4 linked regions of the Stegostoma tigrinum genome follow. Each later gene encodes a partner of the first gene's protein in a complex. Links are inferred from orthologs where the notes say so. Each region holds a gene or a part of one and is shown in the gene's direction. Other genes may lie near its edges.

Region 1 (7,985 bases):
GACACTTCCGCCATCTACAATCCGATCCCACTACAAAAGACATTTTTCCACTCCCACCCTTGTCTGCCTTCTGGAGAGACCACTCTCTGTGCGACTCCCTTGTCCGCTCCACACACCCCTCCAACCCCACCACACACGGCACTTTCCCCTGCAACCGCAGGAAGTGTTACACTTGCCCCCACATCTCCTCCCTCACCCCCATCCCAGGCCCCAAGATGACTTTCCATATTAAGCAGATGTTCACCTGCACATCTGCCAATGTGGTATACTGCATCCACTGTACCCATTGTGGCTTCCTCTACATTGGGGAAACCAAGCGGAGGTTTGGGGACCGCTTTGCAGAACACCTACGCTCGGTTCGCAATAAACAACTGCACCTCCCAGTTACAAACCATTGTAACTCCCTCTCCCATTCTATAGACGACATGTCCATCCTGGGCCTCCTGCAGTGCCATAATGATGCCACCCGAAGTTTGCAGGAACAGCAACTCATATTCCGCTTGGGAACCCTGCAGACCAATAGTATCAATGTGGATTTCACCAGCTTCAAAATCTCCCCTCCTCCCACTGCATCTCAAAACCAGCTCGTCCCCGCCTCCCTAACCTGTTCTTCCTCTCACCTGTCCCCTCCTCCCACCTCAAGCCGCACCTCCATTTTCTACCTACTAACCTCATCCCTCCCCCTTGACCTGTCTGTCCTCCACAGACTGACCTATCCCCTCCCAACCTCCCCACCCATACTCTCCTCTCCACCTATCTTCTCCTCTATCCATCTACGGTCCGCCTCCCCCTCTCTCCCTATTTATTTCAGAATCCTCTCCCCATCCCCCTTTTCTGATGAAGGGTCAAGGCTCAAAACGTCAGCTTTTGTGCTTCTAAGATGCTGCTTGGCCTGCTGTGTCCCTTCTGTTCTTATCCTGTTCATAAGTGGGAACTGATTCTCCATACCCACACTGTCCAGACAACTCATCATTTTGAAAACTTGTATCAGATTTCCTCTTTGCCTTCTCGTGTCTGTGAAAACAGTCCCAATTTCTCTAAACTTTCCTCATAACTTAAATGTCTCATCCCTGAAATCTCTCTGTATTCTCTCCAATGCACTTATATCCTTTCCACAGTACGGTGCCCAGAACTGTCCACAGTACTCTATCTAAGGTTAGCTCTGTCTTATTTAAGGTAATAATAACCACAATGCACTTGTATTTTATACCTTTAGTTATGAAGATTAGAAAATTTTATGCTTTAATAACAGCTTTCTTCACCTGTCCTGCCACCTTTAATGACTTATGTACATATACACCCCTGACTCACTACTTCTGCAAACCCTGCAGTGAATTTTATTTTTTGCAGTCTCATTTTTCCATTTTTTTTGTATTTAAGAGCGTCACCCCAGACTTCTCCATAATTGAACTGTATCTGCCAAATTCTTGTCCACTCCACCAAATTGTCAAGGTCCTTTTGAAGTTGTATGTTGTGTTCTTCACCGTTTCTCAATTCTGCCAAGCTTTGCATCATCTGAAAACTTCAAAATTATTTTCTGTACAGGTATATCAGGAAACATCATGGAGATCTCTACTATAAACCTTCTTCTAGACAAAAAATGCCATTAACCATTACTCAGGCAGCGAGTTTTGAGAAGATTTGTAGCTCAGGTTGAGTTTCTGGATGTGAGTTTGCTCGCTGAGCTGGAAGGTTAGTTTTCAGACGTTTTGTCACCATTCTAGGAAGCTTCATCGGAGGCTCACTGATGATGTTACCTAGAATGGTGATGAACTGTCTGAAAACTAACCTTCCAGCTCAGCGAGCAAACTCACATCCATTACTCAGACAATTTAATATCCACATCGTTACTGTACCTTTGATTTCATAACTGATGACATTCCCCACAAGTGTATTGACTTTTGAAAGTCCATGTACACAACATCAACAGCTTTCCCCTAATAAATCCTTTCCTTTATCCCTTCAAAAATCTCCAAAGGGTTAGCAAGATGTGATTTTCTCTTAGCAAATCCATGCTGTTCCTTCTAAATTAATCCACATTTTTCCATGGGAATATAAATTCTATCTGAAGAATCATTTCTCCAAGTTTCTCCATCACCACAGTTACTGACCAGTCTATAATTGTCACCATAAAATTACAATCATTTTTTGAGAAGGATGGAATATTTGCAATTTTTCAATCATCTGGCGTAACTGTCAAATCCAGAGACACTGAAAGATAATCACCAGTGCCTCTGTAATTTTCACCCTCAGTGCCTTCAACATCCTTGGATGCATCAATCTACTCTAAGTAGCAATAGCTCATCCAATACTTCTCGTAACTGAGTTTCTTCCTTTGTCAGCATGTCCAGGGCAGCATAGACCTCATAGATAAAGACGTGCAAATTGTTTATTTAACACCTCAGCTATGCCCCTCACCTCTAAGTATAAATCTTCTAATTGGTGCCGAAGCAGCCCTAGGTGTCCTTTTACTAACCTTTTAGTGTTACTATGTTTACAGAGAACATTTGGGATTTCCTTTAATGTTTGCTGCCAGACCTTTTTTCATAATCCTTATCTTCTTGTATTTGCTTTTCCACTTCCCTCTGAAACTCCCGTATTAGTTTGGCTCTCAATTGTATTTACTACCCGAAACCTATCATAATCACAATTTTTCGTCTTTAATTTAATTTCTATCTCTTTTCTCATTCAAGGAGCTCTGGATTTGTTTCTCCTGCCTTTTCCTTTTTAAGGAATATACCTTGACTGGAATTAAACCATCTCTTTTTTACAGGAGAATAATGAGACTCCAGCTACCCTTATGTAGTTATTAATTTGTGAACATTAAATATTGGCAAGTTCCTAACTTTGTCTTTTAGCATATTTTTCTTTATGGAAAGCCTTTTATTAGCTGCTTACAATCATTGAACGACAACTTGATGGGCTGTTTCTGGGTGTATCAATTACATCATAATGTTCCTTGAACATTGTAAGGATGTGCTATATACAGTTGATTTCTTCTAATAAAATGGGGTAATATCCACTCTGCCTGAAGTTTTGGTGTGTATGCTTGAGCCCTGTGATCTCTTTCATGAATGATTGAATATCTGTTCATAGCTTCACAATCTGAGGCTTCAAAAATGGCAGTCACTTCACTGTCTGTGGAAAAACTTGAAGTTTCTCTTGTATTCTTTTCTGATTGAACTACAATAAGTTGCTAATCTTTTAAGTGTTTTATGGGTGTAGGCAAAATTTCCAAATTGCTGTATGCAGTCCAACATCCCCGATCTCTTAGTCCTTAAAGCGTACTTGTGGTGGATGCTCAGCATCAAGGGAAACTGCAAACTTGGCATGTGCCACCCATCAAAAACCCAGTCGTGGAAGCCCAACTGTGCTACTATTAATGCCCTATCGCAACCAGATGAGTCTTAGGCAGAAGGTTTCAGCAGACCTCGTGAGGTTTTTCAGTACGTTCCAGTCAGAGAATGAACAATTAACTGCAGAAAACGTTTTGTAAGAATCGGAGTAACTTCACACTTAGAAAAGAAACTCATGAAAAGGGAACAGAAATCTTTGCAGCAGACTGCAATAGAGAAGAAAGCCTTTGTCAATAACAGAGAACATGTAAATGAATGGTGATCTTTTGAAGAAATAAATGGAAAGAAAGTGCAGCTGTTAAGCCCTCAGCATCTTAATAGTCTAAATATTCAGCTGAGATTAACTCTAGTAGGTGGGTGATACATTCTGAATGTCCTACTGGCCTCCGATCTTGTATGAAACATGAAGACCTCAGTGCTACTCAGGAACCTCATGGATCTCGTTTCAGAGATTTATTTCCATTCTTCAGGAATGTTCTCACTTATAGAGTTGCAGCCTGATGCTGAAGCAAGAGTTCACCTGATACCAGTGCCAACAGAAAGTGAAATTGCTATCCTTGGAGAAACAGGAAAGTTCCCTTATCTTCACAATTTTATTTTCAGATTGCTCTTAGTTCTTCCTTTCATTCACCAGATTTATTCCTGGCTTGAAGTGTGACATGCACAGACAGGAGAGGGAGATTTTCAATTTTTTTTTCCTTTGTGGAGTTAGGATAATTTGACTACTATATCACACTTGAAGATCATTTGATTTGTTTTAACACTCTTGATAACTTAGTGTGTGAAGACAGCACTTCGTGTAGCTGTAAGTGTGCTCATTAGCTCTCATAGTTGGGTGCTTATCCACTCTGTTTCAGGAAGAGGCAACATTAGCTTAGACTCTCATACCTCATCAAGATCCAGTGACCTGTGTATAAACATTGGGAGAGGGCAGGACTGGGAAATATTGTCTTTGTTGTTGATCACGTGACTGACTACTGCCTAACCTCACACATGAAAAAAACTTGAAGAAGGAGGCTCTGATGTCCTATTGTAGCATTTAATGCCTTCAGGACAGAAAAGGCCGAGTCAGGAAGAGAAATGAATTTTCCACAATTCCAATTTGTTGCACTGGTGATGACAATGACAAACTTCCCACAATTTCAGTACTCAAATTTCCGAAATGACTCTCTCAATTATTCAGTAACGCATAAAGTGATTGTTTTCGATGTTGTCAAAGGCAGATGCCTTGTACTGGTCCTTGCTATGTTGCATTTATATTAGTGATTTCAAAGGTGAAAATTGTTGTTGTACCAGTCCTTTTTTCAAAGATCAATTCCAAGAGCATTTGTTGCACCACCCACAGAATTTTGTGCAAACCACAGCTTAGATTTGGCAAAAATTAAATGAGATCAACCTTTAAAATACTCTCCAAAGGAAGAAGACTCAAAGTTAATTTTCGGTCTTTTTTAACGAGTTATGTCCAGATTATAAACAAAAGGAAAAGGGCACTTTTTGCGTGGTTTTGGATGATAAGTGGGTGTTGCTTAACTGATTCACAAACGACAAACCTGACGCTGAGGACCTGCCGGCTTGCTCAACATCACTGGACTGCGCCTGGTGGTCACATGTTGAGTTGACAGGAAGGAAATCATATGATCAACATGGAAGAACTGGGCTGAACAGCGTCTGTGGGAACCCTGGTAAAAGCGGTGTGGAAGCATTCCTCCCCTGTATTGTACCAGTGCGAAAGATGCGGCGGGTCAGCAGCGCAGACTGAGTGACTCCGTCCCTGGGTTTATATCGTCCCTTTCTGCTCGCTGCCGCTGGGAAAGGCTGCAGACAGAAGGGGAAGCATGATAACAGAGTTGGTGCAATAAATCTAGAGGTATCCGGCTCTTCTGCCTCAGTTGCTGCTGCCGACCCCCCCGCAGGGCTGTGGGAGATTTTCCCCCTTCCACCATGGTAGACTTCTTGGCAGAGAACAATCTCTGTGGGCAGGCAATTCTCAGGATCGTGTCCCGCGGTAATGCCATCATAGCAGAACTTTTGAGACTGTCCGAGTTTATCCCGACCGTTTACAGACTCCGAGACAAGGCCGAACAGCAGAAGTATGGAGACATCATCTGCGACTTCAGTTACTTCAAGGTGAGAATTGTTGAGTCTTCAGTATCCTCGGATATGCTGTTGGTATCTGCTGGAAAACGATCAGATTAGAGGTTCATTACAAAGCTTATGTTTGCCCACTGATATTAACGTGACGGATTTAATGTTTTACACAGTTGCCACCCATCAGGCTTTTTAAGATTCACCAAATCTTCATTGACTCCCAAACCTGGAAGCAGTAATCTTTATAACTAGAGTACAGCAATGACAGAGATCACAGGCAGGCATTAAAATGGAAGAAAAATACAGGGAGCAAAATTTAACGTTGAATTGTCATCATTGAAAATCATGTGGGTGAAATATTAATCACATTTGACTCCCTGTGTATAAAAAATCTCGTGCACTTCCTGCCCAAAAACTGTACTTCCTGTTGTCACTATGTTTAGTTTTATTTTTCAATGACAGTGTATGTTACTACATCACCATTTCCCTCTCTCCCCCCCCCCCCCCCCCCCAATTCAGTTTTAAAGCTTTAATTGGTGTATTGTAAGGTCCAGCAATTATGAGATCATTGGTCGATAGGTATTGGCTACATCACTGAGAACTCTGCATGATTTTGAAGGAAAGGAGGAATGAAATATTTTCGTGTGCAAAATTTGGGGCATTTTATCTGAAAAGTACTCAGTAAAAACAGACTCAACTAGTTGTTACAAGATAATAAAATGTGAGGCTGGATGAACACAGCAGGCCAAGCAGCATCTCAGGAGCACTAAAGCTGACGTTTCGGGCCTAGACCCTTCATCAGGCCCGAAACGTCAGCTTTTGTGCTCCTGAGATGCTGCTTGGCCTGCTGTGTTCATCCAGCCTCACATTTTATTATCTTGGAATTCTCCAGCATCTGCAGTTCCCATTATCTCTCTCAACTAGTTGTTGTCTTGTGTATCAAAACAGAGTGTTTGCTCCTGATGCAGTAGTTGGGGTACTGCCATTAAAATGGCCACTGATCCTGTCCATATATGAGCATTTGCACTCAGACATCAAGCCATTAGTGACATATGCCTGCGATGTGAAGGCTGTCTAGCTGTTGGTGCACTTTCAAAAAGTGATGCATTTTAAAAGAGTGCAAATTGCATTTGCTGTATCTTTGAAACCATTATCTCTGAAAAGAATATGGACCTTTTAAAGTCAATGATATGCTGTAAAGTGCAGATTGATTTCTGCACAAATAAAAAGAAATGTCTTCTGCCAAAAATTAAACAAAAGTGCTGATGTTGGGTATTTATTTTTGTAATCAACTTCTCAGATCATATTGCAACACACTTCCAGAGCAAGTGGGATTTGAACCTGGATCTACCAGGCTTTTGGACTATAAACTCAATAGTGGGCTGTGGGGTTCAGGGGTTCAGTTGCATGGAAAATTATGGAAAACATTAAGTGTGGAGGGATCCTCAGCAGAAGTTAAGAAAGCTTCCAGAACAAGTAATAGAACAGAGTATGGAAAGGGATAATGGGAACTGCAGATGCTGGAGAATTCCAAGATAATAAAATGTGAGGCTGGATGAACACAGCAGGCCAAGCAGCATCTCGGGAGCACAAAAGCTGACGTTTCGGGCCTAGACCCTTCATCAGAGAGGGGGATGGGGAGAGGGAACTGGAATAAATAGGGAGAGGGGGGAGGCGGACTGAAGATGGAGAGTAAAGAAGATAGGTGGAGAGAGTATAGGTAGGGAGGAGATAGGTAAGTCCAGGGAAGACGGCAGGTCAAGGAGGTGGGATGAGGTTAGTAGGTGGATGGCAGCCTAATGGTATCAATGTGGACTTCACCAGTTTCAAGATGTCCCCTTCCCCAACTGCATCCCTAAACCAGCCCAGTTCGTCCCCTCCCCCCACTGCACCACACAACCAGCCCAGCTCTCCCCCCCCCCCCCCCCCGCCCCCCCGACCCCCCGACCCACTGCATCCCAAAACCAGTCCAACCTGTCTCTGCCTCCCTAACCAGTTCTTCCTCTCACCCACCCCAAGCCGCACCCCCATCCACCTACTAACCTCATCCCACCTCCTTGACCTGTCCGTGTTCCCTGGACTGACCTATCCCCTCCCTACCTCCCCACCTATACTCTCTCCGCCTATCTTCTTTACTCTCCATCTTCAGTCTGCCTCCCCCTCTCTCCCTATTTATTCCAGTTCCCTCTCCCCATCCCCATCTCTGATGAAGGGCCTAGGCCCGAAACGTCAGCTTTTGTGCTCCTGAGATGCTGCTTGGCCTGCTGTGTTCATCCAGCCTCACAGTTTATTATCTCAGTGTATGGAAAGGGTCAGGCAACTAATTTCAGGTACAGCGGATAAGGGTGGTTAATGCAGGACTGAGGGTGTTGTATTTAAGTGCATGAGGTATAAGAAGTTAGCTAAATGAACTTGTAACGCAGATTGAAATTGGCATGTGCGATGCTGTGGGTATCACAGATGTGGTTGCAAGGGATCAGAACTGGAACTAAATATCCAAGGATATGAGTCCTCTCGAAAGGACACCCACATGGGCAGATA
Region 2 (7,000 bases), on another chromosome or scaffold:
TTTTTTAAAGAGGTAATGGCATGGGTGGATGACCATGTGATGTACACGCACTTCCAGAAGGATACGATATCACACAACAAGCTTATGAGCAAAGTTAGAACTCGTGGAATAAAATGGACATTAGCAACCTGAATCAAATCAGCAGAGTGACAGGAAGCAGAGAGTACAGTAATGGTTAATAGATAATAGATGGGCTAGGAAATAACTTGTAATGGAGTTTCCCAAGCATCAGAGTTGGAATGCTTTAATTTCCTAACATTTACAAACAATCTGGACCTTGGTGTGATGGGGACGATTTCAAAATCTACCCATGAGACAAGCAGTTTAAATTGTGAGGACAGCATGCAACTTCAAAAGGGTATGGGCAAGTTGGTGGAGTGGCCAGAAAGAAGGCAGCTAACCTTCACTATGGAGAAGTGTGATGTGACACATTTTGAATAATAAAGATAATGGAGAAACAATATAAAATACAGGGCACAACTGTAAAGTGGGAGCAGAAGCTCAGGAATCTGTGTGCACATACAAATAAATCATTAGAATTTGCAGGACAGGCTGAGGGCCTGGTGAACAATGCGTACAGTATATCAAGTGTTATTTATAAGGATGTAGACTATGAGAGCAGCACTGTTACATTGAACCTATATAAGTCACTAAACATTGTTGAAAGGATACACAAAGATGAAGCTTTTTGCATTCATCAGAACCACGACACAGAAAAAGACTTGAGCCAGGGGACAGAGACAAGACAGTGTGGGATAACAAAGTGCGGAGCTGGGTGAACACAGCAGGTAAAAGGGTCTTGACCTGAAGCATCATTTTTCCTGCCCCTCCAATGCTGCCTGGCCTGCTGTGTTCCTCCAGCTCCATGCTGTGTGCTCTCTGACTCCAGCAGTTGCAGTTCTTGCTTTCTCTGATTGAACCAGGATACACTATTTATACAGCATGCAAAGAGGGTGCTGGTTGGTTTTCTGGTAGATATGCATGCCCTTGTCCACGAACCTGTTGTTTAAAAGAGGATGGAGTTATCTTTGGGGCCCAGTCAACAGTTATCCCTTAGTCAATATTAAAGTAAAAACAGCTTACCTGGTCAGTATCATATTGCTGTTTGTGGCAGCTTCCTGAGCACATATTGGCTGCTGCATTTCCTGCAGTAAATAGTGACCACTTCAAAAAGCATTCAAAGTTATAAAGTGCTTTGAGGTGCCTTCTGGTCATGACTGTTACTTAAATGCAAATAATATGGGACATTTGAAGGAGTAGTCTATAGGCCTCTTGACAGTAGCTATACATTGGAACACAGAACAAATCAGGAGATAATGAGGGCATGTTAAAAAGGCAGTATGTTAATCATGAGTGACTTTAATCTTCATGTCGATTGGGATAGTCAGATTGGCAGACGCAACCACAGAAAAAGCTTATATGGCATATTTAGGACAGTTTGCTGGAGCAATGTATTGTGGATCCAACCAGGCATCAGGCTTTTTTGGTCTGGTTATTGTCAAAAAGGCAGGTTTAATAAATGATGTCAAAGTAAAAGGTCCCCTTGGAAAAGGTCCCATATCATGGCAGAATTTAACATTCAGTTTGAGAGGGAGGAACTTGGGTTAAAAACAACTGAACTGAACTTAAATAAGGGCAATTTAAAAGAATGGGGGCAAGCTGGCTTGATTGAACTGAGAAAAGAGTCAAACAGAAGAGGCGAGTGAGCAACAAGAGCAGATGTTAAAGAAAATAGTTCATGGTTCATGACAAAGATACATCTAAGTGTGGATGAAAGTCTCTAGGAATGAGATAAGCCCAATCTTGCCTAACCAAGGAAGCTAAGGATAGCATCAAACTGAAAGGAAAAACATACAACATGGCACCACTTAGTGATCAGCCAGGGGATTGGGAATAAAAAGTAAAGGTGGAGAAGATAAACTTTGAGTGTAAACTTGCTTGTAATATCAAATGGGCAGCAAGAGCATCTCTAAATATATGAAAAGGAAGGGACATGCCAAAGTTAACATTGACCCTTTGGAGAATGAGGCTGAAGAAATAACAATAGGCAACCAGATGAGAAGGGTTGAATAGGTACTTGCATCAGTCTTCATGACAGAAGGCATGAATAACATTCCAAAATTACTAAATTAGCAAGGGGGAAAGGGGGAGAGGAAATAAATACACTAAATATGACAAGAAAAATAGCAAGAAAACTAATGGGGCTAAAGATCAACAAGTCACTTGGACCTGATGGGAGACATCCTAGGATATTAAAAGAAGTAGCTACAGGAATAGTGGTCACACAGGTAGCAATCTTCCAAGAAACCTTAGATTCTGGAAAAGTCCCAGAGGATTGGGAAACTGCCATTGGAACAGCTTAACTTAAAATGAGAATGAGGCAAAAATGGGTAACTATAGGCTAGTTAGCTTGTAACATGACTTTGGAAGAAAGAATAGTGGAGCTGAATATTAGTGAAATGGTGAAAGAAGACAGGAAGCTACAGAACGGAGGAATTTGGGATTTCTAGAGCATAAATCAGAATAATACAGCATCTAAGTTCAGTAGGTAATCAGGAAGATAAATGGAATGATGGCCTTTATTTCAAAGGTAATCGAATATAAAAATAGGGAACTCTTGCTAAAACAACTGTCATCAGACAACAGTTGAGGAATATTGTAACTATTTTTGGGCTCCTTATATAAGAAAGCATATATTTGCATTGGAGGCTGTCAAGTGAACAGATGCCGGCTACAGAGGGCCTGTCTTGAGGAGAGGCTGAGTTGGCCTGTACTCATTGGAGTTTAGAAGAATGATAGGCAACCTTATTGCAACATACAAGATTCTTTAGGGATTAAACAAGCATAGAAGGTTGCTTCCCCTACTAAAAGAGTCCAAGGCCAGAGGACATAATCTTAAAGTATGGCTTCTCCCAGTTAGGATGAAGATGAGAAATTTATTCTCTCAAGGGGTATTCTATCAATCTGTGGAATTCTTTACCTTTGGCTATTGAGGCTGGAGGATTAACTACATTCGAAGCTTAGACAGTCAGATTTTTAATTAGTAAGGGAATCAAGGGCTATGGGGAGAAGGCAGGAAAGTGGAGTTGAGAATTATCGGATCAGCCAAGATGTCATTTAATGGCAGAGCAGTTTGCATGAACTGAATGGCCTATTTCTGCTCCTCTGACTTTTGGTTTTAGTGTTATTCTACCCAGTTTGCAGTTCGAGTGTGCAATCACAGGGAATAACTGAAAAGACAACCACATAATCATCCATGAGAGAGACACAGGGTCTAACTTCGTAAAATTAAATGAAGTGCTATTACTTCTTTACTGAAGTACTTTACAAGATAATGTATGGCTAAGAAAGGGTGGACGCTGGGAAGTCATTTCCGTTAGGCAGGGAGACTAGGATCCGTGGGCACAGCCTCAGAATTAGAGGAGGTAAATTTAAAACGGAAATGAGGAGACATTTCTTCAGCCAGAGAGTGGTGGGCCTGTGGAATTCATTGCCACGGAGCGCAGTGGAAGCCGGGACGTTGGATGTCTTCAAAGTGGAGATTGATAAATTCTTGATCTCACAAGGAATTAAGGGCTACGGGGAGATTGCAGGGAAGTGGAGTTGAAATGCGAAGCAGCCATGATTTAAATGGCAGAGTGGACTTGACAGGCCGAATAGCCTTACTTCCACTCCTATGTCTTATGGTCTTATGGCTATTAGTGTGCAGGATATAAACACACCAGGTTTTGTCTTGTTGGATAACAAGATGTAGAGCTGCACAAACACAGCAAGCCAAGCAGCATCAGTGGATCAGGGAGGCTGATGTTTCGGGCCTAGACCCATTTTGTCTTGCGGCGCAGTAATAACGTCACCACCTCTGAGCCAAAGGATTTTCATTCAATGTTGATGACAAGGAATCACAAACATCCGGGGGCGGAGCTTGCGGTGGTGGGTGGGGTTTGTTCGTGGTTGGGCGGGGTTTATTTGTGTGTTGCTGGGCTGGGCTGAGCTGGTTGGGCCCGTGCTGGAGAAAATATGCATGCGCCTATGTCGTAGCAATGCGCAAGCGTAGATGCCTGCTTGTGGTCGTTAGAGCTCGAAACTTTGTGTTATGAAGTAGGATGTTTGTGTTTGAATAGTGAAGAATGAAAATGTGATGATAGAGTATTAGAAGACGGCGTTGGCGTTAATTAATTAGTTTTTTTATTCGGGAGAGTCCAGCAAGTAATGGTTAGTATGCACATGCGCAAACCTCGGGTGTGAAGTACGCATGCGTGGGCACAGGCCTCCTGACAAGGAAAATGCAACAGTTTGTTCCTTTAAATGGAAACTGCTTTCATCGTCGACAGCGATTGGGATGAGTTTTACATCATCTACGGAGACTGGAACACAGCTTCAGTCATCTACAGATACTGGGGTGAGAGCGAGCTGTTTACAGTTTCAATCATCTACCGGATACCAGTAACCCCTGGCGTTCATGGACGTTAAGCACTTCTTTCTGACCAACACATCCGCTGTCTATTTCCTCAATCTCAAGTATCGTGAAAACACTTTCAGTTGTCGCTAAGTGGTGATGTTATTAAGCCAGAACTTTCAAAAGTTGATTGGGCGCAGACGTTCACAGATAAAAGGACAGCTGTAAATGGGAAGCCTTCACAATTTAGGTAATGGGAGTCTAGGGAAAGTAGGTTCTTGTTGGAGTGAAGGGCAAGGCTGGTTGATGTAGGGAATGCTGGTTGATTGGAGAAATTGAGATTCTGATTATGAAAAAGAAGGAAGCATTTATCAGGTACAGACAGCAGGCATTAAGTGAGTCCCTAGAGGAATGTAAAAGCAGTAGAATTATACTTGAGGGAAATCGTGAGGGCAAAAAGAGGACATAGCTTTGGCAAGCAGGGTTATGGAGAATGCATAGCATTTCTACAAACACATTACAGACAAAAGAGTAACTAGAGAGCAAATGGGCTTCTTAAAGATCAGCAATGTTTTGTGTGGAACTGCAGATGGGTGAGATACTGAACAAGAATTTTGCCAGAAGTCACTTGACACTGGGTTATAGTCCAACAGGTTTATTTGAAATCACAAGCTTTCAGAGTGTTGCTCCTTTGTCAGGTAAAGTGGAGGGAAGCACACAAGCACAGAATTTATAAGGAGGTAATTAAGAGTATCAAAAGATAAATACAAGTAGTGTAAGTGAAGGGATGACCTATGATCTGATTGATAATTACAAAAAAATCAAAATTAGGATAGTGCTGGAGACAAACTAAATGACTGGAATAACATGATAGATATAAGACTTGCATTGCAAGGGTTTAACCAGGGTAACAATTAATCCAAAATTGTATAAATTAATTAAGGTTGAGATCATAACAAGTTATCAAGGTGATGGTGCCAAAACAGAATGGTAAGGAAGATTATACACAGATTAGAATGGTAGGATTACATGTAGTGCAACATGAACCCAAGATCATGATTGAGGTTGTCCTCATGGTTGAGGAACTTGGATATTGGTTTCTACTCTGACTCTGCATTGTTATGTACATTGAAGGCTGCTTTGGAGGACATTTACCTGAAGTTTTTTTATTCTTGTGGGATGTGGATGTTGCTGGCTGGCCAGCATTTCTTGCCTGTCCCTGGTTGCCCTTGAGAAGGTGGTGGTGAGCTGCCTTTTTGAACTGCTGCAGTCCTCCTGCTGTGGGTTGACCCGCAATGCTATTAGGGAGGGAATTCCAGGTTTTTGACTGAGTGACAGTGAAGGAACGGTGATATATTTCCAACTCAGGATGGTGAGTGACTTGGATGTGATGGTGTTCCCATATATCTTCTGCCTATGCCCTTTTAGATGGGAACTGGTCTTGGAAGATGCTGTCTGAGTATCTTTGAAGATCAGAGGCTGAGTGTGTCCTTGATTATTTTGTATCAATGTTTACTGTGGAGAAGGATGTGGAAGCTAGAGAACGTGTGGAAACTGTCCATATTACGGAGGAGGTGCTCCTGGATGCCTGAAAATGCGTAAAGGTGGATAAATATTAGGGATAGATCAGGTGTATCCTAGAAATTTGTGGGAAGCTAGGGAAGTTATTTGCTGAACCCCTTGCTGAGATGTTTGTACCATTAATAGCCACGGATGTGGTGCCAGAAGACTGGAAGTTGGCTAACGTTGCGCTAGTGTTTAAGAAAGGCAGCAAGGAAAAGCCAGGGACCTATACATTAGTGAGCCTGACAACAGTGGTGGGCAAGTTGTTGGAGGGGGTTCTGAGGGATAGGATTTACATGTATTTGGAAAAGCAAGGACTAATTTAAGATAATCAGCATGGCTTTGTGTGTGGGGAAATTGTGTCTTACTAACTTGATGAAGCTTGAAGAGGATGAATGAAGCCAGACTGGTGGACATTGACCATCTTACTGAAGTCCATATAAACAATGAGATTCCGCGTGGTAGACTAATAACAAGGTTAGGTCATGTGGAATACAGTGAGAACTGGCTATTTGGATACAAAATTGTCTCAAAGGCAGGAGACAGAGGGTGGTGGTGGATGGTTGCTTTTTAGACTGGAGGCCTGTGACTAGCAGTGTGCCGCAGGAATTGATGCTGGGCCCAATGCTTTTTGTCATTTATACAAATGATTTGGATGTGAACCTAGGAGGTATAGTTAGTAAATTTTCAGATGACACCAAAATTGCTGTAGTGGACAGTAAAGGTTACCTCAGAGTACAACAGAACCTTGATCAAATGAGCTAAAGGGTGGCAGATATATTTTAAGTTTGACAAAGGTGAGGTGCTGTGCTTTGGAAAGGCATATCAGGGCAGGACTTGTACATCTTAATGGTAGGGTCCTGGGGAATGTTGCTAAACATATAGACCTTGGGATGCAGGATTGTAGTCCCTTGAAAGTGGAGTTGCAGACAGACAGGGTACTGAAGAGCGCAGTTGGTTCACTCGACACTATTGGTCAGTGCATTGAGTACGGGAGTTTGGAGGTCATGTGGCTGTACAGGACATTGGTTAGGCCTCTTC
Region 3 (7,625 bases), on another chromosome or scaffold:
AAAGTACTCCAGGTATTGGATTAGAACGAAGCTCTGCAGTCCATATCCAGTTATGAATTGTGGTGGACAATTAAATAAATCAATGGAGGAGGCTCAACAATTATCCCCATCGTCAATTATGGGAGAACCCAGCATATCAGTATAAAAGTGTCGCAACAATCTTCAGCCAGAAGTGCTGAATGAATGATCCATCTCAGCCTCCTCCAAAGCTGTGGCATTGCAGATACCAGACTTCAGCTAATTCAATTTACTCCTCATGATATCAAGTATTGGTTAGAGACAGTAAATGCTGCTAAGCCAATGGGCCCTGACAACTTTCCAGCAACAGTACTTAAGACATGTGCTCCAGAACTTGCCATACAACTAGCACTAACACTAGCATCTACCAAATGCAAATAAGAGATAATCTAACCATTCCCCTTGATATTCAATGGCAATAGATCACTAAATCCCCCACCGTCTACATCCTGGGGGTTACCATTGACCAGAAACTCAACTGGACTAGGCATATAAATACAGTAGCTATAAAAGGTGGTCAGAGGCTAGAAATACTGCAGTGAGTAACTCATCTCCTGACTCCCCAAAGCTTGTTCATTTTCTACAAGGTACAAGTCAGTAGTGTGATGAAATACTCCCCATTTGCCCGGATGAGTGCATCGCCAACAACACTGAAGAAGCTTGACACCACCCAGGACAAAGCAGCAGTTTGAGTGTAACCACATCCACAAACATCCACTCCCTCCAACACTGACACTGAGGAGGACCAGCGTATACTATCTACTAAATTTACTGCGGAAATTCACCAAAGATCCTTATACCGCACCTCCTAAATCCATGTCCACTTCCATCTAGAACAGAAGTTTTCCAAATGTGGAAAGGTGAGAAATGTGCCATGAAATTCTCGGGAAGCAGCACCCCTTCACATAGACTTCTGATACCTTGCATGTGCGGAAGGTGGGATATTCACTTCTTATGAAGCCTGGTTGCACAGGCAGATCCAAACATCTGGTCGGAGCATATGCAATGATTAAGGATTGTATCTCCAAGATGAGAAGAAATTGCATGTCCATAGTAAACAGTCACTTGTGTAATTGTTGAGCTGGACTACCTGCCTAGATATGTTTCCATTTTAGCACAGATTTTGAGGTGAATATGCTTCGAATTTGTTTTAGTTAAGCCACTAGTCCTAGTCTTAGAACACAGTTGAAGATGAAATGGATAATTTGTTGTATGCATTATCTTGCAAACCTGTCTAGTAAGGCTGTAACCAAAGTAAATGCAAGTAAATGTGACATTTATGAGCAATCAATTCAGCTGAAAAAAGTCGGTGTGCCATGGAATTTTTACATGTCTCATTGGAGTGTGCCATGTTATTGCAAGGGTTTGTAATCACTGATCTAGAAGGACAAGGGTAGCAGATACATGGAAACACCATGTGCAGGCTTCCTTTCAAGCCATGTGCCATCCTAACTTGGCAATATATCACCATTTCTTCAGTGTTGCTGAGTCAAATTTCTATACCTCCCTCCCTAACAGCATAATGGGCATATCTATAGCACATGGACTACAACTGTCCATGGCAGCTCAGCACCATCTCCTCAAGGTCTTACTCGGGAAAAGCAACAAATGCTGGTCAAGCCAGTGGCGCCCACATCCCACATGTGAATATTCACCAAGGTTCTATACAATTGTAGAAAGACATTGTAAACCTTGTAGTTAAATGCTGTTGCGATAAAGGCCGACATACCATTTGTTGTCTTAACTGAATTTTGTACCAGTATGTTAGCTTTCAGTAATTTGAATTGAATTGAATTAGCTTTATTGTCACGTACTCAGATAAGTACAGTGAGAAGTTTACAAATCACCACTTACAGTGCCATCTTAGGTACACAGTGCCTTGGTACAATTCTTAACAGAAATGAAGATAAAAAGTTACTTTAAAACTATACACCGTATAACTGTAGGTCAGAAAAACAAGAAGCTATTTAAAAAGACAAAGATCACAGTCTGTCTTCAAGGGCTTTCCACAACAAGAACAGCCAAGTCCTATCTATCCAGATTCTGCCGAGGTACAGAAAAAAAGTATGTACTGAATTGCCACCAGAGTAAAAAAAGGAAATAGGAAGTGCTCCAATGGAATGATTAATGGGACTATGAGGAAGGATATTGAAGGAGTTATTTTAGATTCATCAAAATGTTACCTGGGCTCCCATGGTTAAGAGCACAGATTATACAAACTAGACCTGTATTCCCTGGATTATAGAAAATTTAGGGATGATTTGACGGATTTTTCTTAGAAAGTTTATAAGAGTAGCTTGAGGAAATTGTTTAACAAGCACACAAAACGCTGGCAGAATTGTTCTTAAGAAGTCATATTGGACTCAGAACATTAACTGTTTCTCTCTCCACTCTATCAGACCAGTTGAGTTTCTCCAGCATTCCCTGTGTCTGTTTCTGATTTCCAGCATCTGCAATATTTTGTTTTAATTTGAAAGAAGAACATTTATTCTGCTGGTTTGATAGTCTAGGAGAAGGTGAAATAATGTTAATACATTTCATTTATTGAAATAGGGAGTTCAAGCAATGACTCCAAGATCCTATTCCACTTGGCAAATCAACTCTGTGGACACAAGGGTCACTTGTTACTTTTGTCTTTCCAGTAGGTGTCTTTCCCCACACATGCCCCTTCCCAGGACAGCAGATGTCATTGAGGGCAGGGATGATAATATAAAGATAACAAGGTGTAGAGCTGGATGAACACAGCGGGCCAAGCAGCATCAGAGGAGCAGGAAAGCTGATGTTTCGGGTTGAGACCCAGATTTCTGAAGAAGGGTCTTGACCCAAAACGTCAGCTTTCCTGCAGTGTTCACCCAGCTCTACACCTTGTCATCTCTGATTCTCCAGCATCGGCAGTTCCTACTACCTCATGATAATATTGAAACTTGATAGTTCACATGATATAAGTACACACTTCCTCCCGGATGGTAACTCTTAAGATTACCTCTCATGTTCCAACATACCAAGTTATGCAATTTAAAGTTTTCTCTCTTTGACCACCAAGATGGTAATCCCACGGGATTATGGTTCCCCTGCCAGGAGATAGTGGGTCAGCCTAATTTTAGGGTGTCTTTTCTAGCTCCCCTTCCCTTTTAGGGTGAACAGAAGGTATTCTGAAGGGAATTGTTCAGTCACAGATACTGTTGTCAATGACACCAACATAGGTGCCCAGTGACCTCCATCTCATGACAGCAGATTATTTTTCGTGTTCACAGCCCTGAACCTGTTGCCGAATTTCCATTGCCACAAGGCTTGGAAACCAGATTATGGTTAGCAAAAAACATTTTTGCTATGTTAGTATAGGGATCTTGGGGTGTTACCATTGTCCATGTGATTTTGACTGGTGTTTTTTAAAAGATTAGATTCCCTCCAGTGTGGAAACAGGCCCTTCAGCCTAACAAGTTCACACCACCCCTTGGAACCCACACATCCGTGAACACTACAGGCAATTTAGCATGGCCAATCCACCTAAGCCTGCGCATCTTTGGACTGTGGGAGGAAACCGCACAGAGGCTGGAATCGAACCCGGGTCCCTGGCGCTGTGAGGCTGTAGTGCAAACCACCGAGCCGTTTGTTGTCAGAGTTCAGTGATGTGTTGAACTGCTAACACCAGCACTGTCTCGCATCTGCAGCTTTTTCCACCATTACAATTCGTGTGATTTTTCTTCGCCTGTTCTGCCATAGAGGACGATTGTATCAGAGATAATGGGAACTGCAGATGCTGGAGAATCCAAGATAACAAAGTGTGAGGCTGGAAAAACACAGCAGGACAAGCAGCATCTCAGGAGCACAAAAGCTGACGTTTCGGGCCTAGACCCTTCATCCAGCTCCACACTTTATTATCTGCCATAGAGGACTGTTTGGACCGCACTTTGACGCCTCCGTCCCCAGCCTTGATGCCACGTCCCGACGGCATCGGTCAAAGAATCGGAGTGCAGAAACCTCTCCGCCATGTCAAAGTGACAAACACATCCCTCGGCACAATTTTTTTTAAATAAAAGCTTAGACGGCAAATAGCCACCGTTTATGTTCAAAGAGTCTGCATCTTTAACTGGTCAGATTGACAATCACGGGTTGGCGCCTGTGCTACGAGGAGGAATCGGGGGAACTGAGGAAACGCTGTGGGAAATATATAGAAATGAACAGGAGATGGTGGATTAACTGAGGTACTACAATCAGAAACAAGGACCTTTCTGAACTAAAACGAAGTTACTGGAAATACGCAGCAGGTCTGGCGATGTTGTCGTTTCTTTGCCCACCTCCTGCCTTCCCTGGAAGGCCTTTGGGTCCTAGTTTTCCCCCCAGGTCTGAAGGGAGGTCTCAGTGTGTGTGTCCCTCTCCCACAGGCGCTGCCAGACCTGCTGAGTTTCTCCAGCACCTTTGAAGACTGTTGTCAATCTGAACGTCACCGGGTGCTCTCTTCCTCCTGGTGATGAAATGGGGGTTTCTCCGGTGGGACACTAGGCCCGAGGCCTGGGGCCCGGTGACGGTGACACACTCGGCCCTGGCGGCCCCGGGTGATTGCGGTCACGCGCGTGCTCCCGCCCCTGCCCGTCGAAGCTTCCCTTCCGGGTCAGGGGGTCAGGAGCTGTTTCCGGGCGGAATGGACGCGGACGGACTCCCGTTGGTGGGATCAGGGATCGACCTGACCCGGGTGAGGGGGGAAAGACAGGGGATCCCTGGAGCTGTGCTTTCATCAGCGATAGTTTAAAAGTTAACTGAGAGCCTGTAACCCTTAAATCTTATCCTAACCTTCGACTTCCACCCATAAACCCTAGTCTTAACCTCTAACCGCAGCCTGAGTCCTTCCCCTACCTGACCTATAACCCCTTAAACTCAATTTAACCCTTTAATTCCCAGCCGTAACCCCTTAAACTCAATTTAAACCTTTAATCCCAGCCATAACCACTTAAACTCAATTTAACCCTTTAATTCCCAGCCAAAACCCCTTAAACTCAGTTTAACCTCTTGATCCCAACCCTAACCCCAACCATAACCCCTTAACAATAATCCTAACCCCCTTACATCCAATTTAACCCCTTTATCCCCACCATAACCCCTTAATTTCAACGTAAACCCCTAAACCGCAGCTTTAACACCTAATTCTGTTCTGTGCTGTACTGTTCTATGTTCTATGTTCTAATCCTTACCCACTAACCATAACCTGTAAATCCTAATGTCAGCATGTAATTATAACTTCTAAATACCTGTCAGCATGAATTTACAAAAGGGAAATCATGTTTGACAAATGTACGGGAATTCTTCAACGGATGTGACTAGTAGAGTTGATCAGGGGAGCTGGGATGTGGATTATTTGGATTTTCAGAGCCTTTCCGCAAAGTCCAATATAAGAAATTAATGTGTGAAGCTAAAACACATCAATCTGAGAGTAGTGTATTGAAAATTGGTTAGCAGACAGGAAACAAAGGGTGGAAATAAATGGTGGGATATTGGCAGGGATTGGTACTTGGACCCTCGCAATTCACATTAAATGTTAATGATTTAGATGAGGGAATTAAATGTAATATCTCAAACTTTGCAGATGACACAAAGAGGAAGGGTGAACTGTGAGGAAGATGTCAGAATGTGATTTGGTCAGGCTGTGAGTTGGTAAATGCATGGCAGATCATGTCATGTGGATAAATGTGAAGTTATATGCTTTAGTAGGAAAAATAGGAAGGCAGATTATTACAAGAATGACTAAATTGAGAGAGGAGAATGATCAACAAGCCCTGGGTGACCTTGTTCGCCAGGAGCTGAAAGCAAGCACACAGGTGCAGCAGAAGGTAAAGAAGACAAATGACCCTGTTGGCCTCAAAGCGAGAGGATTTGAGTACAGGAGCAGGAATGTCTCACTCTAGTTATACAGGGCCTTGGTAGGGCAGCATCTGGAATATTGTGTGTAGTTGTGGCCTCAATATCTGAGGGACAATGCAGTTGTTCTAGATATAGTGCAGTCAAGGCTCACTGAATTGATTCCTAGGATGGCAGGAAGATATATTAGGAGAGGTTGAGTCAGTTAGGATTGTATTCATTGGAATTCAGAAAAATGAGGGGGTAGATCTCATTGAAATCTGTAAAATTCAACAGGACTGGATGATTAAATGCTAGAAGGATGTTTCTGTTGTTGGAGTCCAGAACCAAGGGCCATATCTTAAGGATACAAGATAAACCTTTTAGTAGGTTAGGACAAATTTCACCCAGAGAGTGGTGAGCCCGTGGAATTTGCTAGCACAGCAAGTGGAAAACACTGTTTTCAAGAAAGAGGTAGGTAAAGCTCTTGTGGCTAAAAGGGTTAAGGGATGTTAACCATGATCATAATGATTGGCAGAGCAAGCTTGAGAGATCAAATGGTCAATTCCTGCTCCTACATTCTATGTATCTTAATACTTAATCCTTAGTTTTGATCCCGAAACTTTGATATGGATCCCCAACTGCAGCCCCAAACTCAGTCTGCAACTTTAATGTCTAGTCCACAACAAAAGCAGAAGATGGGGGAAAAGCTCAGCAGCTCAGGCAACTTATGTGAAGAAAAAATCAGAGTTAATGTTTTGGGTCTGGTGACCCTTTATTAGAACTGGTCCTGAAACATTAACTCCGATTCTTTTCACAGATACTGCCAGACCTGCTGAACTTTACCAGCAACTTCTGTTTTTGTTCCTGATTTACACCATCCGCAGTTCTTTTGGTTTGTATTTAATATCTAGTCTTTGGCTCAGAAATTGTGGTTTCTTTTAAAATTGTTTTTGAGGTCTAACTTTAGAGTGAATGGGTTTTTGAGCACAGCTAATGGATTTGTGTTTATCTTAGATTGTTTTATGATTAGCAAGATAAATAATGGATCTTCGAGTTTTGTTTGTGACTACTGGAACTTTTAGATTCGGTTTGACTATGAGTGAGGAAGCCCTGTGAAAGTGTTCAATAAGGATGGTGGTTAGGTCCAGTGATTTTGAGAAGGGAAAGTTATCATGAACTAGCTTATCTCAGAGTGAAGAGTCAGTGTCAGTCCCAGACCAGAAGTGTTAGATAAAACCCTGAAGGGATTTCTAAAAGCTGAATATGTATAAATCATAGAACATAGAACATTACAGGCCCTCGATGTTGCGCCAACCTGTCAAACCAATCAGAAGCCCATCTAACCTACACGATTCCATTATCATCCGTACGTTTATCCAATGACCATTTAAATGCCCTTAAACTTGGCGAGTCTGCTACTGCTTCAGGCAGGGCATTCCATTGCCCTTACTACTGTCTGAGTAAAGAACCTACCTCTGACACCTGTTGTATATCTATCTCCTCTCAATTTAAAGCTATGTCCCCTCATGCTAGCCATCACCATCTGAGAAAAAAGGCTCTCACTGTCCACCCTATCGAATCCTCTGATCATCAGGCGTATAATATCTCCAGGAAGAAGTTATAAGACCATAAGACATTTCCTCAGCCAGAGAGTGGTGGGCCTGTGGAATTCATTGCCACGGAGCGCAGTGGAGGCCGGGACATTAAATGTCTTCTAGGCAGAGATCGATAAATTCTTGATCTCGCAAGGAATCAAGGGCTACGGGGAGAGT
Region 4 (7,987 bases), on another chromosome or scaffold:
AGTTATCACTCTTAGCTCATCTTTGGAATTCAGCTCTTGTGTCTATGTTTGAACCAAGACTGCAATAAGGTCAGGAGTTGAGTGGCACTGGCGGAACCCAAACTGGGCAACAATAAGGATGTTGTTGATGAGCTGGTGCTGCTTGATAGCACGGTTGATGACACCTTCCATCACTTTGCTGATTATCGAGAGGTAGAGTGATGAGTGATTGGACAAGTTAGATTTGTCCTTTTTTTGTGCATAGGATGTGTCTGGGCAATTTTGTGTAGATGCCGGTGTTGTAACTGCACTGGAAGAGCCTGGCTAGGGGAACAGCAATTGCTGAAGCACAAATGTTCAGGACTATTGCTAGGATGTTGTCAGGGCCCATAGTCTTTGCAGTATCCAGTGCCTCCAACCATTTCTTGAAATCACATGGAGTGAATCAAATTGGCTGAAGACTGGCATCTAAAGTCCTGAGGACCATTGGAGGATCATCCACTTAGCATTTCTGGCTGAAGACTGCTGCAAATGCTTCAGCCTTAACTTTTGCACTGATGTTTTGGGCTGTACCATCATTGAGGATAGGGATATTTGGGAAGGCTGATGTTCTAGTGAGTTGTTAATTGTTCACCATCATTCACAACTGGATGTGGCGGAACTGCAGAGTTTAAATCTGGTCCCTTGATTGTGTGATTAATTAGCTCTGTTCATCACTTGCTGTTTATGCAGCTTGGCATACAAGTGTCCTGCTTGGTAGCTTCACCAGTTTGGCACCTCATCTTCAGGTATGCCTGGTGCTGCTCCTGGCATGCCGTCTTGCACTCTCCATTGAACCAGGGTTAGATTCATAGTCACACAGCTCAACATGTCCATGATGCCCAGATTTCCTAAACTAAACTAATTCCATGTGCCCCCACATATCCCATATACCTCTAAATCTTTCCTATTCATGTCACTGTCCAAATGTCTTTAAAATACTATAATTGTACTTGCCTCTACCACTTCCTCTGGCAGCTTCTTCCATATACACACCACTCTCCATGTGAAAAGGTTGCCTCTCGATCGGTTTTAAATCTTTCTTACCTTAAACCTACGCCCTCTGGTTTTGAACTCCCCCAGTCTGGGGGAAAAACAACCTTTGTTATTCATCTTGTCTATGCCCCTCATGATTTTATAAACTTCTATAAGATAATGGCTCAGCCTTCAATGCTCCACGAAAAAGTGCCAGCTTATCCAACCTTTCCTTATAACTCAAACCTTGCAGTTTCAGTAACATTTTCAGAAATCTTCTTCACACTCTTTCCATTTTTATGACATCCTTTCTATAGCAAGGTGATCAAAATTGTATGCAGTACTCAAAGTGTGGCCACATTAATGCCTTGTACAACTGTAGTATGACATCCCAATTCTTGCACTCAATGCTCTGACCAATGAAGGCAAGCGTGCCAAATGCCTTCTTCACACCCTGTCTACCTGTGATGCCATTTTCAAGGAACTATGTCTCTGCACCCCAAGGTCTCCCTGTTTAACAACACTGCCCAGAGCCTTTCTATTAACTGTGTAGGTCCTGCCTGGTTTGTCTTACCAGAATATAACATCTCACATTTATCTAAATTAAACTCCATCTGCCATTCTTTGGCCCACTGGCTGAGTTAAGCAAGATCCCATTGTTCTGTTTGATCATCTTCTTCACTGTCCACTATACCACCAATTTTGGCATTATCTGCAAAGTTACTAACTATGCCTCCTACATTCTCATCCAAAATGTGTATATAAATGATGAACAACAGTGCACCCAGCGCTGCTCTTTGCGGCACACCAGTGTTCACAGGCCTCCAGTCTGAACAACAGCCCTCTGCCACCAACCTCTACCTCTTTCTGTTGAGCCAGTTTTGTATCCAATTGGTTAACTCTCGCCTGAATCTTTTGTGATATAACCTTCTTAACCAGTCTATGATGTGAAACCAGGTCAAAGGTCTTGCTAAGGTCCACATAAACCACATCTACCACTCTGCCTTCATCTATCTTCTTGGTCACCTCTTCAAAAAACCCAATCAAGGCCCTGAGGCTTGGTCACCTGGCCTGATAGTATTGGTTGAGTGGGGAATATGCTGGGCCAGGAGGTTGCAGATTATGCTGAAGTACAATTTCTGTTGCTGTCGATGGCTCACAGCACCTCTTCAATTGCCCAGTTTTGAACTGATAAATCTGTTCAAAGTCTGTCTCATTTAGCACAATGATAGTGCGACACAACACGAAGGAGATTTTTCTCATTGTGAAGTAAGGACTTTGTCTCCACAATGAATGTTCAGTGGACACTCTTACTAATACTGCTATGGACAAATGCATCTGCAGCGAGTAGATTGGTAAGGATGAGTTTAAATATATTTTTGTTTGTTTATTTAAGGGGTGAGAGCATTGCTGGCCAGGCCATCATTTATTGGCCATCCCAGAGGGCAGCCATATTGCTGTCTGTCTAGAGTCACGTGTAGACCAGAGCAGGTAAGGATTGCAGTTTCCTTCCCTAAAACATAGTTTTTTTTCCAACAATCAGCAAGGATTCATAAATTCATTAGATGCTTAATTCCAGATTGGCCAGGGCAGAATTCAAAACCTGAGTCCCCAGAGCATTACTTGGGTCTCTGGATTAACAGTCCAGCTATAATACCACTAGGCTGTTGCCTCCCTAATTTTACAGTAAGTTTTTTGCTCTTTTTGGTTCTCTCACCACTTTCTGCAGACCCAGTATAACAGCTGTATCCTTTAGAACCCAAGCAGCATTGTGGACTCTATCTGCAGCACATGGACTGCAGCAGTACGAGAAGACGTCATCTTTTCAAGAGCAACTAGGAAGGGCAATAAATGCTCATAAGCCAGTGATGCCCCCATCCCACAAATGAATAAAAAACAAGCTTAACCAGAGTGCAGGTGCCAAGCCACCCTTGGGGGTGTACGTTGAAATCACCCATATTTTGCGCCCATGCTAGCCTCAGTGCTTCCTCCAAGTGTTGTTCAACAATGAGGAGTACTGATTCATCAGCTGAGGGAGGACAGTACCTGGTAACCAACAGGAGGTTTCCTTGCTAATGTTTAACCTGAAGCCAAGAGATTTCATGGGGTCTGCAGTCAATGTTGAGGGGACCCAGAAAAACTCCTTCCCTATTGCATGCCACTGTGCCACCACCTGTCCTACCAGTGGGACAGGACACGTCCAAAGATGGTGATGGGATTGTTCTAAGAAGACAGTGACGTCTTCTAAGGGTCACTGGATGTGAAACATTAACTCTGCTCTCTCTCCACAGATGATGCCAGGCCTACGGAGTGTTTCTAGCATTTTCTGTTTTTATTTTGTTCATGATGTTGATGTCCAGGATATTGTCTTATGATATATGATTCAATGAGTATGATTAGGTCAGGCTGCTGCTTGACTAGGCTGTGAGACAACACTCCCAATTTTGGCATTAGGCTAAAATGTTAGTAAGGAGAACTTTGCCGGGTTTACAGGGCTGTTTCTGTTGTTGTCTATTCCAGTGCCTCAGTCAATGCCATGTGGTCCAGCCAGTTTCATTTCTTTGTTGAGACTTTGCAGTGACTGATACAACAGAGTGGCTTGCTCGGCCATTTCAGAGAGCAGTTGAGAGTGAACCACATTGCTGTGGTTCTGGGGTCACATGTCGGTGACACCAGGTGAGAATGGCAGATTTCCTTCCCTGACGGACATTAGTGAGCCAAATAGTTTTTTCTGACAATCGACAATGGCTTCATGGTCATCAGTAGATTCTTCATTGCAGGATAATTTTCAGATTTCAAAATGCTGTACGTGCTTATAGTTCACCAATCATATTCACTAGTATTCGCAAATGGTGGAATAAGCTTAGAGTCAGCACAGGCATCATGGCCCAAAGGGTCTTTAACTACGTTTAAAGCATGATTGAACATTGCATTTATATAGTACCTCTCAGAAATACTGGACATCTCAAACAGCAAATGAAGCAGTTTTATAATCAGGTTTTTAATTCCTAACCGAATCCGGCCTCCTGCCCCAACACATTCACACAGAGATAAAAGCAGAAAGTGCTAAAAAGAAATTGAGCAGATCCTAAAGTATCTGTGGAGGGAGAAACACAGTTCAGGTTTCAAGTTAGTTTTGATTTAAGTTCACAGGCCAGAAAATTAATTGGGGAAACCAAGCGGAGGCTTGGGGACCGCTTTGCAGAACACCTCCGCTCAGTTCGCAACAAACAACTGCACCTCCCAGTCGCAAACCATTTCCACTCCCCCTCCCATTCTCTTGATGACATGTCCATCATGGGCCTCCTGCACTGCCACAATGATGCCACCCGAAGGTTGCAGGAACAGCAACTCATATTCCGCCTGGGAACCCTGCAGCCATATGGTATCAATGTGGACTTCACCAGTTTCAAAATCTCCCCTTCCCCCACTGCATCCCTAAACCAGCCCAGTTCATCCCCTCCCCCCACTGCACCACACAACCAGCCCAGCTCTCCCCCCCCACCCACTGCATCCCAAAACCAGTCCAACCTGTCTCTGCCTCCCTAACCGGTTCTTCCTCTCACCCATCCCTTCCTCCCACCCCCAGCTACCTACTAACCTCATCCCACCTCCTTGACCTGTCCGTCTTCCCTGGACTGACCTATCCCCTCCCTACCTCCCCACCTACACCCTCTCCACCTATCTTCTTTGCTCTCCATCTTCGGTCCGCCTCCCCCTCTCTCCCTATTTATTCCAGTTCCCTCCCCCCATCCCCCTCTCTGATGAAGGGTCTAGGCCCGAAACGTCAGCTTTTGTGCTCCTGAGATGCTGCTTGGCCTGCTGTGTTCATCCAGCCTCACATTTTATTATCTTGGAATCTCCAGCATCTGCAGTTCCCATTATCTCAGAAAATTAAGCCTGTTACCTTTCACCTGAAAACTACATCTCCCAGAGGGCATTGGGGCTGAGCGCTGGCGCAGTGCGTGCAGTTGCGGGACTTGCCTGGGTCTGGTCACGGGATGTAAAGATGGCGTTGGATGTTCAGGCCCGGGACTGGGAGTTTGACCGCTTCGATGAAGGATCCCAGAGTGAGTTTCGAGCTGTGCTTCAGGCCCGGGCTTTGCTATGGGGAAAGAAAAGCCTTCTTTCCCAGAGAAATACTCTCTTCTAATTTCCATTTCTCATCTATCCCCGCCCCCCGGCCAATCTGCCCCCTCCCACCATAGAAGGGACTCTTCTTCTTTCCACTATTCTCTTCCCCCCAAGCCTTGGGCTGTCAGTTTCCCCTAAATCATCAGCATCTAATGATCTTAACCATTGATCCGATTCGGTACAGTGAACATTGTTTGCAGCAGTTCCTAACGCTGGAATGTAATCTGTGGTCTACTGTGTCTCAGTGCAGTCTGTTAAGTGGTTAGACAAGCGGGAGTCTGGAAGAACACAGCAGGCCAGGCAGCATTTGGAGGAAAGGAACAGTCAACGTTTCGGATATTGCCCTTCCTCGGTCTGTTAATTGATGGGTGCATCATAATAGAGATCATTTGGTATAATGAGTTCTTCATAGCTCTCTTAGAGCAAACCTGTCAGTTCTATTTTCTTGTTTTATCCTTGTAACCCCACAAATCTATTTCCCTTTAACAGAGTTTCCATTTGTCTTTTGAAATCATTAACTGTATCAGTTTCCAATACCCTCATTAGTAGAGTTTCTTGCCCTTTGAATCTCCTATGCAAAATCTTCAATCTGTGCACTGTTGTCCTTGTGCAATCAAATAATGGAAATACCTGAGTTTTATCTAAACCTGGCATTCTACATCTGTTAGACATCCCATGATCTCTTTTGCTTCAACGAGGCAAACCACCAGATTCTCCAGCTAGGATTAAAGATCCAGTGATTGATTCTGTTAAATCTTTACTGCACCCTTCTGTGGGCCCTCATGTTCTTCTGCAGGCACTGTGACCAAAATTAGATGTAGTGCTCCAGTTTAGGTCTTTTGAGTTCAAAATAATGTTTGGAACCTTTTTATTATAATAAATATGAACACTGCATGTCAGAGGTATTTGGCATAAGCAGTAGTATGTATGTTTGGTAGAAATATAAGTAACATGACAAAATGGTGTTTACTTAGTTGTTACCATCTGTTCCTATTGACATCTTCTTTGGACTTGTTGGTTGGCGTTTGCTATATTCTTCTTGCCCTGTGTGTCTGTTGACTATTATCTTCTCTTAATTGTGTTGAGGATCAGGACACTTCTTGTACCCTTTTATGTCTAGCCTGGTGCTACATTAAGTTTCTGATGATTTTACCATTGACTTCACCAACCTGATTACTTTATGATAATTTCATTATTACCCATTAGTATCTCCAAGGTTTTGGAGTAGATTTGCAGCTCGGGTTGTGGGTGTTGCGGTTGGTTGGCTCGCTGAGCTGGTTTGTTGCTCCGTAGACGTTTCATTACCCTACTGGGTAACATCGTCAGTGCAACCTCCGATGAAGTGTTGGTGTGTTTTCCCGCCTGGTTTTTAAACTCTGGAGTCCATTGAGCTGGATTGCCTTACTTCAGGTTTTCCTTTGTAGTGGAGTATATATGGGGTCAAGTTCTGTGTGTTAATTGATGGCTTTCTTCGTGGAGTACCAGGCTTCTAGGAATTCCCACACCTGTCTCTGCTTAGTTTGTCCCAGGATTTTGATGTTCTTCCAGTTGAAAGTGGATTGAGATGAGTGAGTATTTGTCATGTCTTTTAGTAGCCACTTGGTGTTCGTATACTCTTGTTGTTAGTTTCCTTCCTGTTTGTCCAATATAGTGTTTCTCACAGTCTCTGCAGGGGATCTTCTAGATGACATTGGTCCTGTCCATGACCATGGATGATATTACCCAGCAGGGTAACGAAACATCTGAGGAACAACTAACCAGCTCAGCGATACAACCAACCTCAATACCCATTAGTATTTCATTAAGTTACATGTTGCTTGCACACTGCCATTTGTTTATTGCGTAGGAGATTTTTTTTAACGTAGTCAACACAACGTAGTAGTTCTTATCTTTGATGTCTTGTTATGGAGATCGACAAACAAAAATATTTCTCTAAATGTGAGTTTGCTCGCTGAGCTGGAAGGTTAGTTTTCAGACGTTTCATCACCAAACATCATCAGTGAGCCTCCGACGAAGCGCTGGTGTTATGTCCCGCTTTCTATTTACATAACACCAGCGCTTCGTCGGAGGCTCACTGGTGATGTTTGGTGATGAAACGTCTGAAAACTAACCTTCCAGCTCAGCGAGCAAACTCACATCCAGAACCTCAACCTGAGCTACAAATCTTCTCAAAACTTGATATTTCTCTCAGCTTGCAATTAGCCAAACCCTGATCTGAGCTTTTACAACAGTTTGACATCCACCTTCCACTTGTTTCTCAGCATTTTCAGAATTCATATTTCCACACTAGCATATAGCCCAGCGGTTTATAAAGATTTATAAGGATTTACTACAAGTTCCCTGCTTTTGTACCCAATTTGTCTACTTCCTAAAGCTCATGATGTATACTTTCCTAATTGCTGTTTGTACTGTCATCTTCAAGGATCTATGCAGATGAGTTGCCAGTTCCCTCTGTTTCTGCATGCCCTTAATAACTGTGGCATTAATACTGTATTATATCTATATATCAAACAAAAATTGGCTGTAGTACTGACTTTCCAGTCTATAAACAACTTAACCATAGCACCCGTTTTTTTAATCTACCCTGACACTGATCCTCATTTTATGAACCTCAGTTTTATTACCCAGCCTGTTTAACGTAGTATGATGTCAAACTTTTCTAAACATCACTTTGGCAATGTTCTTTGCTTTCCCTTCATCCTGTCTCATGACTTCAGGGTAAGAAGGCCTATTAGTCAACTACATCCTGCCTTTTAAAATCCAAGTGGGTTCTTCTAAATTAATTTGCACCTCTTCAAGTCCCCATTCTAATTGCTTTCATTTTTTCTAAATTTTACCTACCTCTAATATTAAACTGACC

What was found.
Region 2: washc5 (region 1) and wash1 share a complex: the UniProt entries of both Homo sapiens proteins name them as parts of the WASH core complex. The link is inferred for Stegostoma tigrinum from reciprocal best matches to the Homo sapiens genes WASHC5 and WASHC1.
Region 3: washc5 (region 1) and washc3 share a complex: the UniProt entries of both Homo sapiens proteins name them as parts of the WASH core complex. The link is inferred for Stegostoma tigrinum from reciprocal best matches to the Homo sapiens genes WASHC5 and WASHC3.
Region 4: washc5 (region 1) and washc4 share a complex: the UniProt entries of both Homo sapiens proteins name them as parts of the WASH core complex. The link is inferred for Stegostoma tigrinum from reciprocal best matches to the Homo sapiens genes WASHC5 and WASHC4.

What each region holds. Positions count from the first base shown.
Region 1 is NC_081358.1:47,566,362-47,574,346, forward strand, and holds the start of washc5 (WASH complex subunit 5), read left to right. Parts: upstream 1-4,971; 5' UTR 4,972-5,297; coding exon 5,298-5,483; intron 5,484-7,985. UniProt on the Homo sapiens protein: Acts as a component of the WASH core complex that functions as a nucleation-promoting factor (NPF) at the surface of endosomes, where it recruits and activates the Arp2/3 complex to induce actin polymerization, playing a key role in the fission of tubules that serve as transport intermediates during endosome sorting.
Region 2 is NC_081371.1:25,519,414-25,526,413, reverse strand, and holds the start of wash1 (WASH complex subunit 1), read left to right. Parts: upstream 1-3,980; 5' UTR 3,981-4,212; intron 4,213-4,218; exon of another isoform or gene 4,219-4,399; intron 4,400-7,000. UniProt on the Homo sapiens protein: Acts as a component of the WASH core complex that functions as a nucleation-promoting factor (NPF) at the surface of endosomes, where it recruits and activates the Arp2/3 complex to induce actin polymerization, playing a key role in the fission of tubules that serve as transport intermediates during endosome sorting.
Region 3 is NC_081371.1:60,015,459-60,023,083, reverse strand, and holds the start of washc3 (WASH complex subunit 3), read left to right. Parts: upstream 1-4,616; 5' UTR 4,617-4,660; coding exon 4,661-4,711; intron 4,712-7,625. UniProt on the Homo sapiens protein: Acts as a component of the WASH core complex that functions as a nucleation-promoting factor (NPF) at the surface of endosomes, where it recruits and activates the Arp2/3 complex to induce actin polymerization, playing a key role in the fission of tubules that serve as transport intermediates during endosome sorting.
Region 4 is NC_081378.1:53,491,657-53,499,643, reverse strand, and holds the start of washc4 (WASH complex subunit 4), read left to right. Parts: upstream 1-4,975; 5' UTR 4,976-5,002; coding exon 5,003-5,063; intron 5,064-7,987. UniProt on the Homo sapiens protein: Acts as a component of the WASH core complex that functions as a nucleation-promoting factor (NPF) at the surface of endosomes, where it recruits and activates the Arp2/3 complex to induce actin polymerization, playing a key role in the fission of tubules that serve as transport intermediates during endosome sorting.